2 linked regions of the Oryctolagus cuniculus genome follow. The protein of the gene in region 1 purifies or fractionates together with the protein of each later gene. This does not show direct contact. Links are inferred from orthologs where the notes say so. Each region holds a gene or a part of one and is shown on either strand. Other genes may lie near its edges.

What was found.
Region 2: the proteins of organic cation/carnitine transporter 2 (region 1) and YIPF3 purify together in Homo sapiens (co-immunoprecipitation; 3 studies listed by BioGRID and IntAct, counting the BioPlex papers as one, with this or other methods). This does not show direct contact. The link is inferred for Oryctolagus cuniculus from reciprocal best matches to the Homo sapiens genes SLC22A5 and YIPF3.

What each region holds. Positions count from the first base shown.
Region 1 is NC_091437.1:20,899,042-20,907,329, reverse strand, and holds the start of organic cation/carnitine transporter 2, read right to left. Parts: upstream 5,293-8,288; 5' UTR 5,136-5,292; coding exon 4,743-5,135; intron 1-4,742. UniProt on the Homo sapiens protein: Sodium-ion dependent, high affinity carnitine transporter. Involved in the active cellular uptake of carnitine. Transports one sodium ion with one molecule of carnitine.
Region 2 is NC_091436.1:126,547,485-126,555,849, forward strand, and holds the start of YIPF3 (protein YIPF3), read left to right. Parts: upstream 1-4,006; 5' UTR 4,007-4,079; coding exon 4,080-4,160; intron 4,161-4,672; coding exon 4,673-4,870; intron 4,871-5,042; coding exon 5,043-5,149; intron 5,150-6,978; coding exon 6,979-7,024; intron 7,025-7,137; coding exon 7,138-7,230; intron 7,231-7,383; coding exon 7,384-7,515; intron 7,516-7,692; coding exon 7,693-7,806; intron 7,807-7,997; coding exon 7,998-8,121; intron 8,122-8,214; coding exon 8,215-8,363; 3' UTR 8,364-8,365. Other genes in the region: POLR1C (DNA-directed RNA polymerases I and III subunit RPAC1), read right to left, coding at 506-624, 772-888, 1,001-1,150, 1,305-1,457, 1,540-1,659, 1,882-2,014, 2,224-2,331, 3,520-3,591 and 1 more. UniProt on the Homo sapiens protein: Involved in the maintenance of the Golgi structure. May play a role in hematopoiesis.

The sequences.
Region 1 (8,288 bases):
CAGCAACCTGCGCAGACTGTGCACATGAACAGCTGCCCTCCAGGAATGCAGAGCCCTGCTTGCTGTGCACGGAACCCGCCAGCTCCTGAGTCGTGAACAGAGCCCAGAACGAAGCCCCTCCTCTGGGCCAGTGATGGGGAAAAACGAACCTGCTTCTCTGCCCTGCTGGGCAGCGTGCTCGCAGCCTCTGGGTGCCTCTGAGAGGGGCCAGAGGGCAGCCGGCAGGTTGGACACAGAGAACGCCCACAGTGGGCAGTGTGGCTTACACGGGTGTGCTGCTGGCTTCCTGCTTTAGGGTCAGATGCACTTAGAAGCACTCACAGTGGTGATCCCCAACCCAGGGGCAGGACTGGAAGTATCTCCCCCTCTACCTCTATCTGGAGGACACTGACTCTTGGTGCAAAAACCTGACAGCTCAGGCTGCCACAGCCTTCCCACCTCACAGCCTCAGAGGTACCAGCACCCAGACACAGCAACTGTGTCTGCAAAAGCCAAGACTGGGAGCAGTGGGGAGGCAGAGCTGAGCCGATCGGCAATGGGGATGCTGGGCTGACCTTTAGGGGCCACTCTGGAGCTCAAGAATGAATAAATAAAGGGCCAATCACTGTTTCTCAACTACTCTGTCTTGAGTCAGGGGCCGGCAAGGCTCAGAGACACAGAAATACACACAGGCACCGTGGCCAGCGCTAGGGTTGCAGCTCCTAGGTGAGGTCTCCCAGGAACAGACTCCTGAGCTGACCAGGCTGGGTGCTAACTGAAACCAGGTCAGATGCTGCCCTGCAGGGGACAGGAAGACTGTGGAGTGCATCTCGGCGTGATCCCAGGGCATCTCTCGGGGTCCCTCAGCCCCACCCTCCCCAGGTAGTCTGGCCTGTCCTTCATCTAGGCAGCTGTGTAACTCCAGAGTAACTGTGCCCACCACCCACCACTGTCAGTCTTGGACCATGCTCAGAGTCTGGCACTGGGCCCTCCAAAAGCAAACATGTCCTAATACTTCTTTCCTGCCAGCCAGAGGCCTGTGATCAGGGGTCAGGAAAGGTGAAAGACTGCCAAAACTGACATGGAATGGGTCCCACCCAGCCAATCCATCCACTCACCTGACAACCACTGGGCAGGCTGCAGCGGGCTGCAGGACTTTGCCTGAATCCTCATTTGGGGGACTGGGTGAGCAGTCCAGAGTCCAAGCCAAGTACCACCTCCCTACCCCTGCTTCATGTGTTTCCGAAGGCACTGGTGCCCTGAAAGGTACTAAACTCCCAGCTCCCAGCTCATCCACGCCTCCACTTGAATGTGTGGGTTTAAGACTCAACCACGAGTCTGGCATGGTTACCCCTTGGCTGGATAATCCGGGAAAGCAGGCCCCACTGAAAACAGCTGGGAGTAACTCTGGCAAAGCAGCAAGATTGGCTGTGCTTCTTGGTCAGAAACGTGCCTTTCGGGTGGTGATGGTCTCACAGGACTACAGGCACACGTGCTCAAGCTTTTCCTACTGCACACCTTGGATGTACAGTTTTTAAAAATGTCTTCTACATTGCAACAAAGCTGTTACCTCTTTTGAAAAAGACTTGTGTCTCTGAGAAAGAATCGTGTCTCTTCTACTTACACATGACTGGTGCTACTTTTCAGTAATGGGAAGTCGAGATGACAGAGCTCCCTGGGACTGAACATTCTGACCTATGAACTGGCTGGAAGGGAAAAGACAGGGTCTTTGCCCAGGAGGCAGAAGCTCTTCCCAGATGTACCTGACCTCACCGCACCAGTGGTCAAACAGCCCGGTAAGCACTACGTGTTACCGAACACGCTGTGTGCCGGACAATCTCGTCCTGCCTCTGGCTGCCATTCTGGCCTCAAGGCTGTCAGGGCAAAGTCAAGAGGTTATCAGCTAATGCATCCTCTACATCTGGCAGTGCCCCATTGAGAGGAGAGGCTCAGGGACTGTTTGGCCACACGGTGAGAGAGGGAGTGGGTAAACGAAAGGGCTGTCAACCTTCACCACCACCCTTCAGTATCCTTTAGGCTTGGCCCTTGGGCTTCACTACCCAAAGTGCAGAGGAACCCTGAATCTCTGTCTCTGGATGAGTTATTTTCCTTGCTCCCTGACCCCCTGCCTCGTGGCAACTGTCAGAACTCTGAGCCAAGGATGTCCTCAGATAGCCAGAGAGGGATTCAAACTGGGTACAGGCCGATGCGCAGGTCAGGTCTCAGCTTGGGGGGGGGGGGGTTCCTAACAACTCCCAGGAGTCAGAAGGGCGCAAAAGTTCCAAAGGAACCTCTGTGCCTGCACGCTGGAACGGGCTTCGGGGTGCGTGGGCAATCTGAGAAACCACACAGGTTTGCAGAGGAGGGGGCAGTCCCGGGCCCAGAAGCACCGCCAGGGGGACTGCGTGAGTCCCCACAGCCCAGGGATGACTAAGAGGCGAGGTGGGGGCTGGCCTAGAAGCATGCGCACCATCAGGCAATTCCTGAGCCCGTTCACTTCACAACCTGCCCGCTTCTTCCTGCCAAGTCCAGTGCCTTGCTCCAGATCCACAGTACCACACCCCGGGACACAGGGTGGAGAATCTCAGTTCCTTGAGAATACCCCGGTCGATCCTTTCTGGCTACCCCCCAAGTTTCCCTCCTAAAAACTATCCATTTTTCTCCAACTTTAGAGAAGATTCCTTAAATCATTCATTAAGCCAATCAATCATAAGCTGCCCAGTTCACTGCAAGTGGATGCACCTTGATGTGAACCAGGGAAAAAACAAACTGCAGATCTGAGGCTTTAGTCTCTGTTGAAACCTAGGAACAAGAATTTAATCCCATTGTGCAAACGCCTCTCTGTGGGATCTGGCACACAGGGCAGGCTTAGAGACATTTGGCAGGCACAGGACAAGCTACAGTGGTCAATGGGCCTGGTTGAAAGAAAGTGGACCTTAGGAAAAAAAAAAAAAAAAGAAACCTTTCAGAATGTTGCTGCAGCAGCTCCCAACAGCGACTGTTCACCTGAGAACAGCAGCCCGAACTCACGCATTCCAGATCCCAAAACAAAGGACTGTGTATTAATTTTCCTCTCCACAGAGACGGAAAACCTGGAAGTAGGCGAAAGGGCATAGAGCTTTGACGAAACTGCTGAGACAGCGAAATGAATAGTCTAAACAAAAGAATACAAGGCGGACTAACACGGGCAGCACCGGATCCGCCGGGCCGTGGGAGCGCCTCGGGGCTGCTACCTCTCTCAGCTGAGGGCAGGGTGTGGGCACTGAAGGACAGCAGCCAATGATGGGGTCAGGCTAGGGGACCCTCAAGGGTCCGGGGAAATCCTGGGAAGCCCTGGGCCTCTTCCAGCTTCACGCCTGCCCCCTTCCTCCGGCAGCCCCTAGCAGATGCATAGGGACTTCTGTGTCGTGAAGTCTGGCTTTCCCTCAGTGGCCCCTACCTGTGACTGTGTGGACAAGCCAGTTCTCCCTGGCTTCTAGGAAGGGAACAAACTCACTTGGAAGGCTAGGACCCAAGACCCGTACCCACCGAAAGCTCCCGTTCTCCATGCATTCTCTGGAGGTTTGAGTCCCCAGATCATGGTCAGCTACCTCCATTCTGCCCTTTTGTCCCTGAGAACGCCTGAGGATACTGCAATGATGTCACTCCCTGTGGGGTTCAGGTCACACTCAGTTCACAGGTGCTGGGGACATCAAATTTCTCTACGCAAACACATGTCTGAGCTTCCCAGGACAGCGCTCAGACTCCCTGGAAAGAACACACCTGGAGCCCCAGAGCCCCCGTAAGGCTCCAAGAGGGAACGTTACCGTCTGATGCCACACTGGGTCCCTGCCGCCTCCCCTCCCTGTGAACTCTGCCCTGCGTGCACAAATTCGTGCTATTGCATCTGGGTCATCCCAGAGTCACTGGGCAGGCAACATCTCCTGTAGGAGACCTTTCCTAACCTGGGAATCCCTAAACATGACACACAGGTGACCCAGTACCTACAAAGGAGTGCTCTGTCCACTGCTCTGCTTCCTCAGTTCTGTGGACACTCCGGGCAATGCCTAAGCAAGACACAAAGGACACTCACCTGCACCACTAACGTCATGTCAGGCACTGAGCCCCAAGGACAGCAGGTGCACCAGGGGACAGACACAACCCCTGGAAAGGAAAATCTGAGGGGCTGGGGACCAAGACCTCCACTACCCTCCACAAACAAAGCTTGTGCACTTGAACGCAGCGTGGCTGCCCAGTTCACCTGGGAGCATCCCACAAAACGTTCACAAGGCACCTGTATCTTCAGACACAAGGCTGTCAAAAGTTTGACAAGTGATCCGGGGCAAGAGGTGGACAGTTCCTCACAGGGCTGTCCCAGGGAGGGAACAGGCAGTCTTGGACACATGTTTCCCTTGACTATCAAAGCTCAGCACAGGAGTATTTCTCTAGTGGGAACGCATGCCAGGAAGCCAGAGGAGAGATGGTGCCAGCTCCACGTTCCAAGCTCCGGCTCTGCCACTCACCACTCCCACCCTCAAGCCAGAGGACGTCCCTTCTGGACTCCCTCTCCAAGGTGGCCGTGAGGAAGGCGCGGGAGAGGCAGCCTAACACCTGCTATTGCAGGGGCACGGTCTGGCTGGATGTCACCGGGCAACACGTTCCGGAGCCACCAGGGTATTCTAAGATGAGAGTTAACATTGCACCTGGGCTGGTGGCGGTGGATTTGAGGACCGAAGAGGTAGCTGCCTTTGCGCCCCTGGCCCGGCGGCCGGCGCGGCACCCACCTCGGTCACGATGGTGGACAGGTACACGTCCTGGCTGTACTCCCAGCCATCCAAGCAGCTCTCCTGCTCCAGCTGCTCCAGGTCCACGTCGCGCCCGGGCTCCAGCCCCAGCGCCGAGAAGTTGGCGATGGCGGCGAGCCGGTAGCGCCGGCAGCTGTGGGGCACCTCGCGGCCGTCCTGAAGCCGCAGCGGGACACTGTGGTTGCGCCACGCGCTGCTCAGGTTCGCCGACTCCGGCACCCGGCAGCGGTGCTCCGGGGTCGCCATGAGGAACACGGACGAGAGGCCATTGAAGCCGTTTGGGATGATGCTGGCGCTGAGCAGGAAGAAGATGAGGCGCTGGAAGGGTCCCCACTCGCCCAGGAACGCGGTCACCTCCTCGTAGTCCCGCATGCCGCCCTCAGCCGCCCGCGGCGCGCCGCCCGGGGTCGCGGACACTGCGGCGCGCGGGGGCGGGGCGGGGCGCGGCGAGCGCGTGCGCGTGCGCGTGTGCTCCCGGGCGTCCGGCGGAGCAGGGACCCGACACCGAGACCGTCCTTCGGCCGAGCAGGCTCGCGAGCTCCTGGCGCTCGGGCGCCGCCACCGGCCTTACATAGGGCGCCAGGCTGGGGCGGGCCCTGGGCCTGGGCTGCAAGGCCCGCCCCTCCGGCCGGCGGCGCGGCGCGGGCGGGGGCGGAGCTGCGGCGGGGCGCGGCGGCGGGTGGAGGGCTCTGGCCGCCGGGTGCACCTGCGGCGCGTCCCCGGCCTGTGCCCCTGGGCCGACCCCGAGTGCGAGCGCTGACGGCCCCGAAGCCGAGTCAGGACGTCGGCGTCAGGGGCCAGGCGCGCTGTGCCTGGGCCAGGTCGGTGGGAGGGTCCGGTGCTACCGTTGTCGCCTGTCCAGGTCCGCAGGGACTGGTGTGTCTGGCCCAAGGTCTCACTGCTGCTTAGGCTCCTTGTGAGAGTGGCAGGGATTATGTTAAACTGGGATTCTGGGAAGGAGGAGAGCCACGACTTTTCATTCTGGTCCAGATGCCATGTAACAAGGCCTTTTGTTCTTTTCTTTCTTGCTTTCTTTATTTGAAAGTCAGAGTTACGCAGAAAGAGAGAGAGAGAGGACTTCCATCCGCTAGTTCACTCTCCAACTGGCAGCAACGGCCAGATTCAGAAGCCAGAAGCCAGGAGCCGGGAGCTTCTTCCAGGTCTCCCACGTGGGTGCAGGGGCTTAAGGACTTGGGCCATGTTCTACTGCTTTCCCAGGCCATAGCAGAGAGCTGGATCGGAAGAGGAGCAGCCTAGATTCGAACCGGCGCCTGTATGGGATGCCAGCACTTTACCTGCTGTGCCACAGTGCCAACTCCTTGTTGTTCTTTAATTTGTTCAAGCAAATGTAAAAATTTAACTCCCAAGATTATAAACAATCCCAGCCTTGGATTAACTGTGTCCCTCAGATTAGTTATTTCTGAAAAGTTAACTCAGAAGTTGATAATTAAAAAAAAAAAATAGCAACTAGATGATTCTAAAGCAGCACCGGCTAAGGAGCTACATGTGTATTTTTAAATGTTTTATTAGCCATATTAAAATTTTCCCTATTTAGTAAATACACCGAGTTGAATGAGAATTTTACCTAATTAATGAATAATTTTTCAGGAGAAATGTGTCCCATGCACGAATATATGAACTGCAAATGGAACTGGGTGTCCTGTGTTTTATCTGGCAGTGCTTCTGGGAAAATGCAGAAAATTATGATGAAATAAACATCGAATGCACCTCTCCAAGTGGAGTGGAGAGGTTGTCAAGGGAGCAGGGTTTATGCATAATTCCAGCTGCTTCCTGGAAAGTGGACTTCGGTCACCTCCACCTTTGACCTCATGCATAAATGACATAAATGGCCAGTTACATTATACCCAGAGGCTCAAGATGCCTATCAATTGGATTCTTGTTCTATGGACATTTCTACCCTCTTTATATATCCTTTTATTTATTTCTTTTTTAAATTTTATTTTAAAGAGTAATGGGTGGGGGGGGGAGGGAGAGAGAGAGAGAGAGAGAGAGATCTTCCATCCACCGGTTCACTCCTCAAATGGCTACAGGCCCATAATTGAGCCCATCTAAAGCTAGGAGCCAGGAGCTTCTTCCAGGTCTCCCACTTGGGTGCAGGGGCCGAAATACTTGTGCCATCTTCCACTGCTTTCCCAGGCATATTAGCAGGGAGCTGGATCAGAAGTGGAGCAGCCAGGACTGGAACTAGCGCCCATATGGGATGCTTGCTCTGCAGGCAGCAGCTTTACCTGCTACGCCGCAGTGCCGGCCTCTCAGATCCTTTTCGTTACACCCGATTCGTCACAGTAGTCCAGGTTCCCTCTTATAAGCTCCCACTTTACCTGCCTTCCTCAGAGCAGATGCATAGCTTCCTGAACCTGTGTCTCCCAAATTACAATTCCTAAAACCCCTAATAAAGTTCTTTTAAAGTTTCTAAGTTTTAATTGAACAACACTGGATATTTAAAAAATAAAACATGAAATTAACTTAATAGTATACTTAGCTAATCTAGTGTGCCCAGAACTTGACCATTCCATCACATAGTCAATTTAGAAATTATTTAAATATTTTATATTCTTACATAAAAGCCATTGTTCCTACTCCCTCCCCTACTAAACTTTCAGACTCCAATATGGGTTTCATTTCAATTTGGACTAAGTACTCCCTAGCCCCATGTAGCTAGTGGCCATTGGAACAGTACCATTCTAAGGCTTTTGGGAATTTGGACTGCTAACTTAGACACTGCCAGTTATTCCTTTTCCATGATAATAGTGGCTTAGTGATAGAGAACTAAGTATACGTTTTTTACATGTCATCTGTTGGACAAACATTAATTAATAGTGACCATATTCTAAATTGAAAATAAAAATACAGAAGGAGAAGCTAACCTTGCCAGCAGATTTTATACAGGTGATAAGATATAAAGCATAATTGAGTTTTTAAAAATAATGAAAAATGTTTTCACCATTATTGCTCATTTCTTTACACTTACCGTTCCCCTCTATGCATAGACTTCAAAGGAGTCTTTGCACCAAAATGAATTTGTTTGAATTCTTTTTCCCACAAACTTTTTAAAGTACCCTCATATTCTTGCTTTCTGAAGATGGATGGTTATGTGTTCATAAATGCACTTCATCCTAACATCTGATCTTGACTGATAGTCCTTATCTGAAATCCAGTGAAAAAGGATGCAAGACTTCTGGAAAATAAGTGTTTCTTGTATCAAATATTTTAGTATTTCAGGGCTGGTGCTGTGGTGCAGTAGGTTAATCCTCTGCCTTCAGTGCTGGCATCCCATATGGGTGCTGGTTTGAGTCCCAGCTGCTCTTCTTCCAATCCGGCTCTCTGCCACAGCCTGGGAAAGCAGTGGAAGATGGCCCAGATCCTTGGGCCCCTGCATCTGCGTGGGAAACCCGGAGGAGGCTCCTGGCTCCTGGCATTGGATCGGCGCAGCTTCAGCCTTTGCGGGCATCTGGGGAAGTGAACCAGCGCATGGAAGACCTTTCTCTCTACCTCTCAAATAAA
Region 2 (8,365 bases), on another chromosome or scaffold:
GGCCTGGGAGTGCAGTGGAGGATGGCCCAAGTGCTTGGGCCCTGCACCCCATGGGAGACCAGGAGGAAGCACCTGGCTCCTGGCTTTGGATTGCCACAGTGCCAGCCATGGCGGCCACTTGGAGCGTGAACCAACAGAAGGAAGACCTTTTTGTCTGTCTCTCTCACTGCCTAATTCTGCCTGTCAAAAAAAAAAAAAGTTAAACCTAGTCCAAGATGAGATCCCATAATTTTAGATCAAAATTCAAAAGTCTCTCAAGAACTTATCTGTTTGGACATAAATTTATTTACATCCAGGCCTTACAAAGGCATAAAAGACTCACTTTGTGATATATTTAACAAAATGTATTCATTGAAAATAAAGCTGGAATTGTCCCAGAAAACTCAGGACCCCTGGTCATACTGGGTGCAGCAGTCCTGTGGGGGCAGGTAGGTCAGAACCCAGAGCCTTCAGCTCGGCTCACCAGCAGCCAAGCCCAGCCGTCCCGGGAGCTCCAGTGCAGACTTCAGTCCATCTGAACCGCGTCTAGTTCGTCCAGGAACCGCCGGCACTTCCCCATCAAGACCTTGATGGCTTCACTCACCAGCACATCTGGTGGCAGCACCCCCGTGGACTCAACAGAGACTGGGGACAAAAGAGATGCTTTACCTTAGGCAAGGCTAGTTGAATTCCACATCTGGACTCAAAAAGTAAACTACAGCACCAAAGGGCACAGCCACCCCCTCCCCGCGCCCTGTACATACACTCATACCCTCAGCACCTCATACTCACAGATATAATGATCTCGAACCCGGGCAAGCCGGACAAGCTTCTTCAGTTTCTCATTCCGGAAGATTTCCCTGCTGAAGGTATCTAGCCGGGGATTGGCAACTCTGGCCACCTTTTTACCTAATGAAAACCATGTTATACTTTGTCTCCAAGCCCAGAATGGTTATGCCTATGCTACTTTTACAAAAGTAGACCACACGGCCTGACCTGAGCACCATCCCTGATACCATACCTTGGACTTCCTGGACCTCAATGACACCTGGTGAGAAGCACTGGCTCAGCTCCTCAGCCGCTTCCCCTTCTATGGGTGCAAGCAGGGTAATGTCTGGCAGGAGCCTGTAACTGGCTGTCGCCACTGGTGAGAACTTGGCGTGGTCCTTGCCTGCAGGGAAGGGAGAGATCAGCCTGGGGGAATCCTCTCCCGAGCCACTGAGCGCGAAAGCCCAAGCCCACCGCCTTCTGCCGGTCAGGAGCATCCCTGGATTCCTGCGGCGACTAAGCTACGCCCTGCACCTGAGGCGGCCCACGGGTCTCACCGATGCCCTTGACACAGTGCATGAGCAGGTCAATCTCTTGGCCAGGTCGCAGCTGGGCAATGAGGATATCATCGTGCACCGGCCGGATAGTGCCCTCAGGGAAGAGGTCAGCCTGGTTCCCCAGGGGAACCCACGTCATGTGCCTGGTGTACACTGGAGGGAAGACAAGTCAGAGGGCTGTAGCCCCGAGACGCCCCCACAGCCAGCAGCCAGGCCTCCCTCCTTGCCCACTAACCTTTGTGATTCACATAGAGCTCGTTGGGGTCAGAGGAATCTTTAGCAGCGTGGGGGTTCCGAGTGCACCTGACCTGCAGCCGAAACTGCAGAGTGTCTATCTCTGTGCCCTCGTCGTCCCCTGCACAAAGGGAAGAGGCGGCCCTTACAGCAGCAGTGAGCATCAGGGTAGACACTGCCGAGTGCTACCCGTGTGCTGCTCCTCTCGTCCACAGATGATGAGTCACTTGCCCAGGGCCACAAGAGTCAACCCAGGATTCGAACCCAGGCAGCTGGTCCCAGGATCTACTAAGGAAGAAAGCGGTTCCACTTCCCCCAACAGCTTCATCTCCCAGGCCCTCACCTTGGTTCCGATATTCAAACAGTCGTGGATCAGCATGAATGGGAATGAGCCCCAGGCGGTGAGCCAGGATCTCATCCTGCACGATGGATGTGTTGTTGTACACCAGTACCTTCTCCACAGCCATTGTGGGCACCTACCCAGAGACCAGGATTACCCGTCTATAAAAACCCGGCAGACTCCCCACCTCCTGAGATGGACAACTCCTAGAAGAATGCCTCATAAAAACTTAAAGCAAAACACTCCACAAAATCGGGGGGGGGGGGGGGGGGCAACTTGAGACACTGACAGATGAGGTGATGGCACACTTCCCCACGCTCCAGCCGTCACCGGCCCCGCTGATACCTCCGCCAGCAGAATTCGCCGGAAAGCATTGGCAATGGCCGCATCAATTCCCACCATGTCAAACTCCAGCGAGTTTTCATCCATGTGTACCACATCCACGCGGAAGTTCTAGAGGCAAAGGAAAAACAAGTGGATGGAGCCTGCTCTTGGTGTGACCTGGCTACAGCTCCCCCTTGACACGGAACATCCCCGCTCCCCCAGAAGCCTTCCTCTGCCCAGCAAAGCCTCATTTGATGTTTTCTTCCTCTGTTCTTTTAGTTTCTTGAACAATGCCCCCAGTTTTGTATGCCACTAGTTGAAAATCCTATGCAATATGGCTTGAGCCAGAAGCTATTCTATGAAGAGCAGAAACTTCTATACAGTTTAGTCCAGCTGACAGGACTCAGTTCTTTTCTTACTAATGTTACATTTGGCATTGAATTAAAAAAAAAAAAAAAAAAAAAAAAAAAAACTCCTTTCTCAAACCCCATCTCCTCCGTGTCTGGGCACCAGTCCTCCATCTGAGGAGTTGCGTCTCCTTCCACCCACCACCTAGGTGTTACCGGTCCCCAGCTTCTTGTCTCTCTCCAAAGTGACATCAACCACACTCACGGTTTTAGCAACTACTATGGACAACTCCCCACATTCTGTCGAACGCTCTCCTGGGCTGCTAGCTCCTCCACACCGCGGGGAACCGAATGGGTCATCGTTCCCACTGCCCAGGCACCGCCAGCCGTCAGATGAGTTCCCACAGCCAGAAAGTCCTGACCGCTCTCACCAAAGCACTCCTGGGCTCCTTCCCCCAGCACTGCCTAGCGATCTGCCCGCCCCTTCTCCTCCTTCTCAACCACCAAAGCTGCAAACCGGATCACCTGGTCACGCCTGCTCAAGAACCCCCAGTGCCCGCCGTCAGGCCAGTGTAACATTCTATCAATAATGCGCGGTTCGGACATTCTAGGGACACGCCCACCCCGTCTTTACAAGTTAGCTCGCTTACTCCTCCCTCCTCGACCTTCACTCACCGTTCAGGGCTCAAACTCAGATGTCACTTCCTTCAGGGAATCCTATGATTCTGCCCCAGTCTAGACCGTCTCTGAGGGGTGCCCCACCCCCACTCTCAGCCGCCGTCACCGCATCCAACTAGAATGACCTGTACAGGCCTGAACAGCTCGATCGCAGAACAAGGCAGAAGCCCGGTGTGCAAGGAGCGCCCAGGACACGGTCGGATGCTGAGCAAACTTGGTTTTGCCACGTGAGTGACCCCTGGGAGCAGCTCGGAAGCCCGGGCTGCTCCGATCACACTCCGGCCCCACGCACCTTCTCGAAGCGGTCCTGATCCCAGGCATCATCATAACCGGAATAGTTCCCGGGGAAGTCGGTGGTATGAACCTAGAGATACGGGTCCGTCCGTGAAGAGGCAGCGAAGCCAAGCCCGCCCTCACTTTGATCCCGACCCGTCCCTCTCATACTTCCTTCTGAACTCAAGGCCACAAGGCTTACATTCCGAACTCCGAACTCCCCTAAAACCACGCGGCTCCGCATTTCTTCAACGGCCTGAGCCGCCGCCATCTTCGACTTCCCCCACGAGACTAAGGCCTCACGCCTGCGCGTGCGTTCTAGCGGCTTTCCTCCGTCGCCGTGGCAACGCACCGCCTCCCGGAGCCCGACGTATCGCGAGACTTTGCCCCGCCTCCGTCCACGTCCCCAACTTCCGGAAGTCTGTCTGGGCCAAACATCCGGGTTTCTCTTTTTTGCGTTCCGGCTGGTGGCGCCTGTCCTCGGCCCTGGACGTCTCCGTGCCTCAGGCCCACGTCTGCCCCCTCTTCCTCCGCGCGCGGGGCTAGCGCTGGCTTCGGGGACGGGAGCCCTCCAGGGACATGGCAGCCACCGCGGCGCCGGCCGGCGGCGCTCGAAACGGGGCCGGCCCGGAATGGGGCGGGTTCGAAGAAAACATCCAGGTAATGGCCCCAGCGCTTCGGCTGCCGGCCACCCCGACGTGTCTGGGGAAGCCTCCCTCGGGGCCCGAAAGCTTCCTCCATTTGCAACACTCCTCTCCCCTTTGGGTCTTCGTGCACGGGAAAGTCAGTGAAGCTAGTGCCGGCCGGAGGGCCTCGGGTCTCTGGACGCGCCTGAGGCGTTAGGAAGAGAGACAGAAGAGGAGGTCAATCGGGGTCAAGCGGGGCAGTGGGCGGGATTCGCTGGCACTCGCCAGAAACATCTTGTGTGCATGGTCTTGCTTGCGCCTTGCAAACCCTCGGGGCCTTTGATGGGGAAGGTGGGGAAAAGGCATGAGCGGAAGACAAGTAGGTGGCTTCTCGGGCTAGAGGAGAGCGCCGGAACCAGCAGCCAGGGGGTTCTGAGAGAAAGTGAGGGGTGACAGTGGCCTGATGTGCGGGGATTCGGAGGCGCGGCGCCAGCAGCGGGGCAGGGACCAGAAAGGCCTGCACTGTAGGAGGCATTGCCTTCACAGGGTGGGGGCTCTGCCGTGATTGACATGGAGAACATGGATGACACCTCGGGCTCCAGCTTCGAGGACATGGGTGAGCTGCACCAGCGCCTGCGCGAGGAAGAAGTGGACGCCGACGCGGCCGCTGCGGAAGAGGAGGATGGGGAGTTCCTGGGCATGAAGGGCTTTAAGGGGCAGCTGAGCCGGCAGGTGGCTGACCAGGTAAGCGGGGCTGAATCCTTGGCAAGTGCAGGATACCTGCGCGATCTGGAGTCGTGTGGGTGACCTTGACCTCAGGCTGCCCCAGTTGGAGCCCAGTAGAACCCCGACAGAAGCTAGGGAGCAGGACCCCAGGGCCAGGAGCCTCACGGGCCATCCCCGCATCTCCGCTCAGATGTGGCAGGCCGGGAAGAGACAAGCTTCCAGAGCCTTCAGTTTGTATGCCAACATCGACATCCTGAGACCCTACTTCGATGTGGAGCCTGCCCAGGTGCGCAGCAGGTGAGGCTCACCTCCTGAGCCCCGGTCCCTCACCCAGCCCTGGGCTCTGCTGTCCTTCCTGACGCCCTCACCCCTCCTCCCCGCACAGGGCACCAATTCGTTTCTACTCCTCTTCCTCCAAAGTTGAGCTCAAGTGTCGCCTCCTTTGCTCTGCGTTTCTGAGCCCCAGCCCGCCTCGTTCACTCGGGGTGCATTTTCAGTTCAGCACTGCTACGCTCTCTTCTTCCACGTCTGTCTCCCCAGGCTCCGTCTGGTTCATCTTTGTTTGTTTGTTTTACTTTATTTAAGTTACAGTCTTTATTTCTTTAAGTTACAGTTACCCACCTTATTGGGTAATCATATCCTTCACTGTGGGTTTTTTTTATTAAGATTTATTTATTTATTTGAAAGAGTGACAGGACAGAGAGAGAAATCTTCTGTCTGCTGGTTCACTCCCCAAACGGCTGCAGTAGCCAGAGCTGGGCCACTGCCCTTGGCTTTAGCCAAGAGCCAGTGTGACTCCATCTGGGTTTCCCTTGTAGGCACCCCAACAGTAGGGCCGTTTCCCACGGCCTCCCAGGCACGTTAGCAGGAAGCTGGATCAGAAGTGGAGCAGGCAGGACAGGAACTGGCACTCTGACGTGGGATTGCAAGCAGCACTTAACCTGGTGTGCCAAACACTGGCCCCTTCCTTGTTCATCTTTTTATCCCTGAAACCAGAACATCAGGGCATAGTCAAGTACTAGACTGAATCGTGGCTTGATTCCTTGTTCATCTTTTAGTTGAACCAGTGCTTATTGAATAGAATCACTTGGCAAGAGCTTACTAAACATCCGCTCGGTGTCAGACCCTGCTGATGCCCTCTGCGTCCGTGGTGAGGGTGGTTGCAGCACAGTGTCCTGAGCTTCAGTGGGGCCCACGGGAGGGGGGACACCTGGGCAGCGTCGCTAGTGCTTCGGACAGGGCAGGTTTCCCAGAGGAAGAAAAATCTAGCTAAAATCCGAAGTATTGTTAGCCAGCCACTTAGGACAGTCACAGGGACTTTTATTCCTTCTGTATGGAATTTTGATACCACTTCAAATATATTTTTCAAAAAGATGCTCATGGGGCCAGCATTGTGGCATAGCAGGTAAAGCCACTGCCTGCAACACCAGCATTCCTTATGGGCGCCAGCTTGAGTCCGGCTGCTCCACTTCTGATCCAGCTCCCTGCTAATGCACTTGGGAAAGCCATGGGAGATGCCCCATGTGCTTGGGCCCCTGCATCCACGTGGGAAACCTGGATGAAGCTCCTGGCTCCTGGCTTCGGTCTGGCCCACCCCCAGCTGTTGTGGCCATTTGGGGAGTGAACCAGAGGATGGAAGATTTCTCTTTGTCTGTCTGTCTCTGTAATTCTGCATTTCAAAATAAAATAAATCTTAAAAAAAAAGCTTTGCAGTGTCGGCTGAGCAGTAAGCAGGAAGAAGCAACAGCAGGAGGCCCATGGGTTCTTCTGTCCCGGGCTGCGTCGTCAGCACTGAACCCCACGCGCTCCCTGCCGTGGTTTGCCTGTCTCTTACGGAGAGCAGGTCGGGCAGACAGATGGTCAGGCCCTCTCCCAAGGTCCGCTGCACTCAGTTCTCATACAGCTGCTACTCTGGCTGCTTAGTCTTAGAGGGCTGTCCTTCGTGGAAGTAGCTTTAGGGGCAAGAGAGTAATTTCCTCATTCCCTGTCTTTGGGCCCCTTTTCTCCCTGTCACCCAGCATGCCCTCTGGGCCAGGCCCCAGCCCCTGGAGTTAGAGGACTAAGGTTCAGGCCATGAGCCTCGTAGCCTAGCGCTGCCTCAGCTGTCCTCTCCTCTCCTCTCCCAGGCTCCTGGAGTCCATGATCCCTATCAAGATGGTCAACTTCCCACAGGTGAGTGGGGTCGGCCTGTTCCTGAGTGTTGGGGGTGGCTCTGGGGCGGGGGCAGGGGGTAGCATACACAGAGGAGCGTAGCCTCCAGCCTGAGTGAGCCGGTGTATTGACAGAAAATCGCAGGTGAGCTCTATGGTCCTCTCATGCTGGTCTTCACGCTGGTTGCCATCCTCCTGCATGGAATGAAGACATCCGACACCATTATCGTAAGCCAGACGGAGGCGGGGGAGGTTGCGGGGGGTGGGGGGTGCAAGTCGCCCGAGGAGATGATGGAGTGAGGCAGGGGTGGTCCCTGTGGAGGAAGTGGGTGAGGCTCAGATCAGAGGCCTCCCAGGACTAAGGAGAGCCTTTGCCCGCAGCGGGAGGGCACCCTGATGGGCACTGCCATTGGCACCTGCTTCGGCTACTGGCTAGGCGTCTCGTCTTTCATTTACTTCCTCGCCTACCTGTGCAACGCCCAGATCACCATGCTGCAGATGCTGGCCCTGCTGGTAAGGAGCCGGGCCGGGTGGTGCACAAGGGTGGTCTTAAAAGCTTGGGCTGCATCTTTCCTGGGGCCCCAGGACCTGGAGTTTGAGGAGTGGACCAGTGACGCGTTCATTCCCGAGTCCCCCGAGGGGCCAGAGGCCAGCCTGGCTGAGTGAGCCTCCCCTCCCCATCCTTCCCAGGGCTATGGCCTCTTCGGGCACTGCATTGTCCTGTTCATCACCTACAACATCCACCTGCACGCCCTCTTCTACCTCTTCTGGCTGCTGGTGGGCGGGCTGTCCACCCTGCGCATGGTGAGCTGGGCCACGGTCTAGGGGCGGGCCGTCCTCCCAGGGAGTTGCGGCTGACAGCCCAGAGCTGTCCACCCCACAGAGGGCTCTGAACGGGAGGGGAGGGCTCAAGGAGCCATCTGCCTTGGGTGGGAGGGTGGTCTCCCCACCCTCACTTTGGAACAAGGCTCTGAGCTGTATTCCTGCGGCCCCAGGTGGCGGTGCTGGTGTCACGAACCGTCGGCCCCACCCAGCGGCTGCTGCTCTGCGGCACCCTGGCCGCCCTGCACATGCTCTTCCTGCTCTATCTGCATTTTGCCTACCACAAGGTGGTGGAAGGTGAGTGGCGGGGAGCCTGCAGTGGGAGAGCGGCAGCGCGGTGGCCCAGGGAGGGCCCAGCCGACCCCCGCTCCCCCTCCATCCTGCTTTCAGGGATCCTGGACACGCTGGAGGGCCCCAACGTCCCGCCCATGCAGAGAGTCCCCAGAGACATCCCCGCCGCGCTGCCTGCTGCCAAGCTACCTGCCGCCGTGCTCAACGCCACAGCCAAGGCTGTGGCCGTGACTCTGCAGTCCCAGTGAGC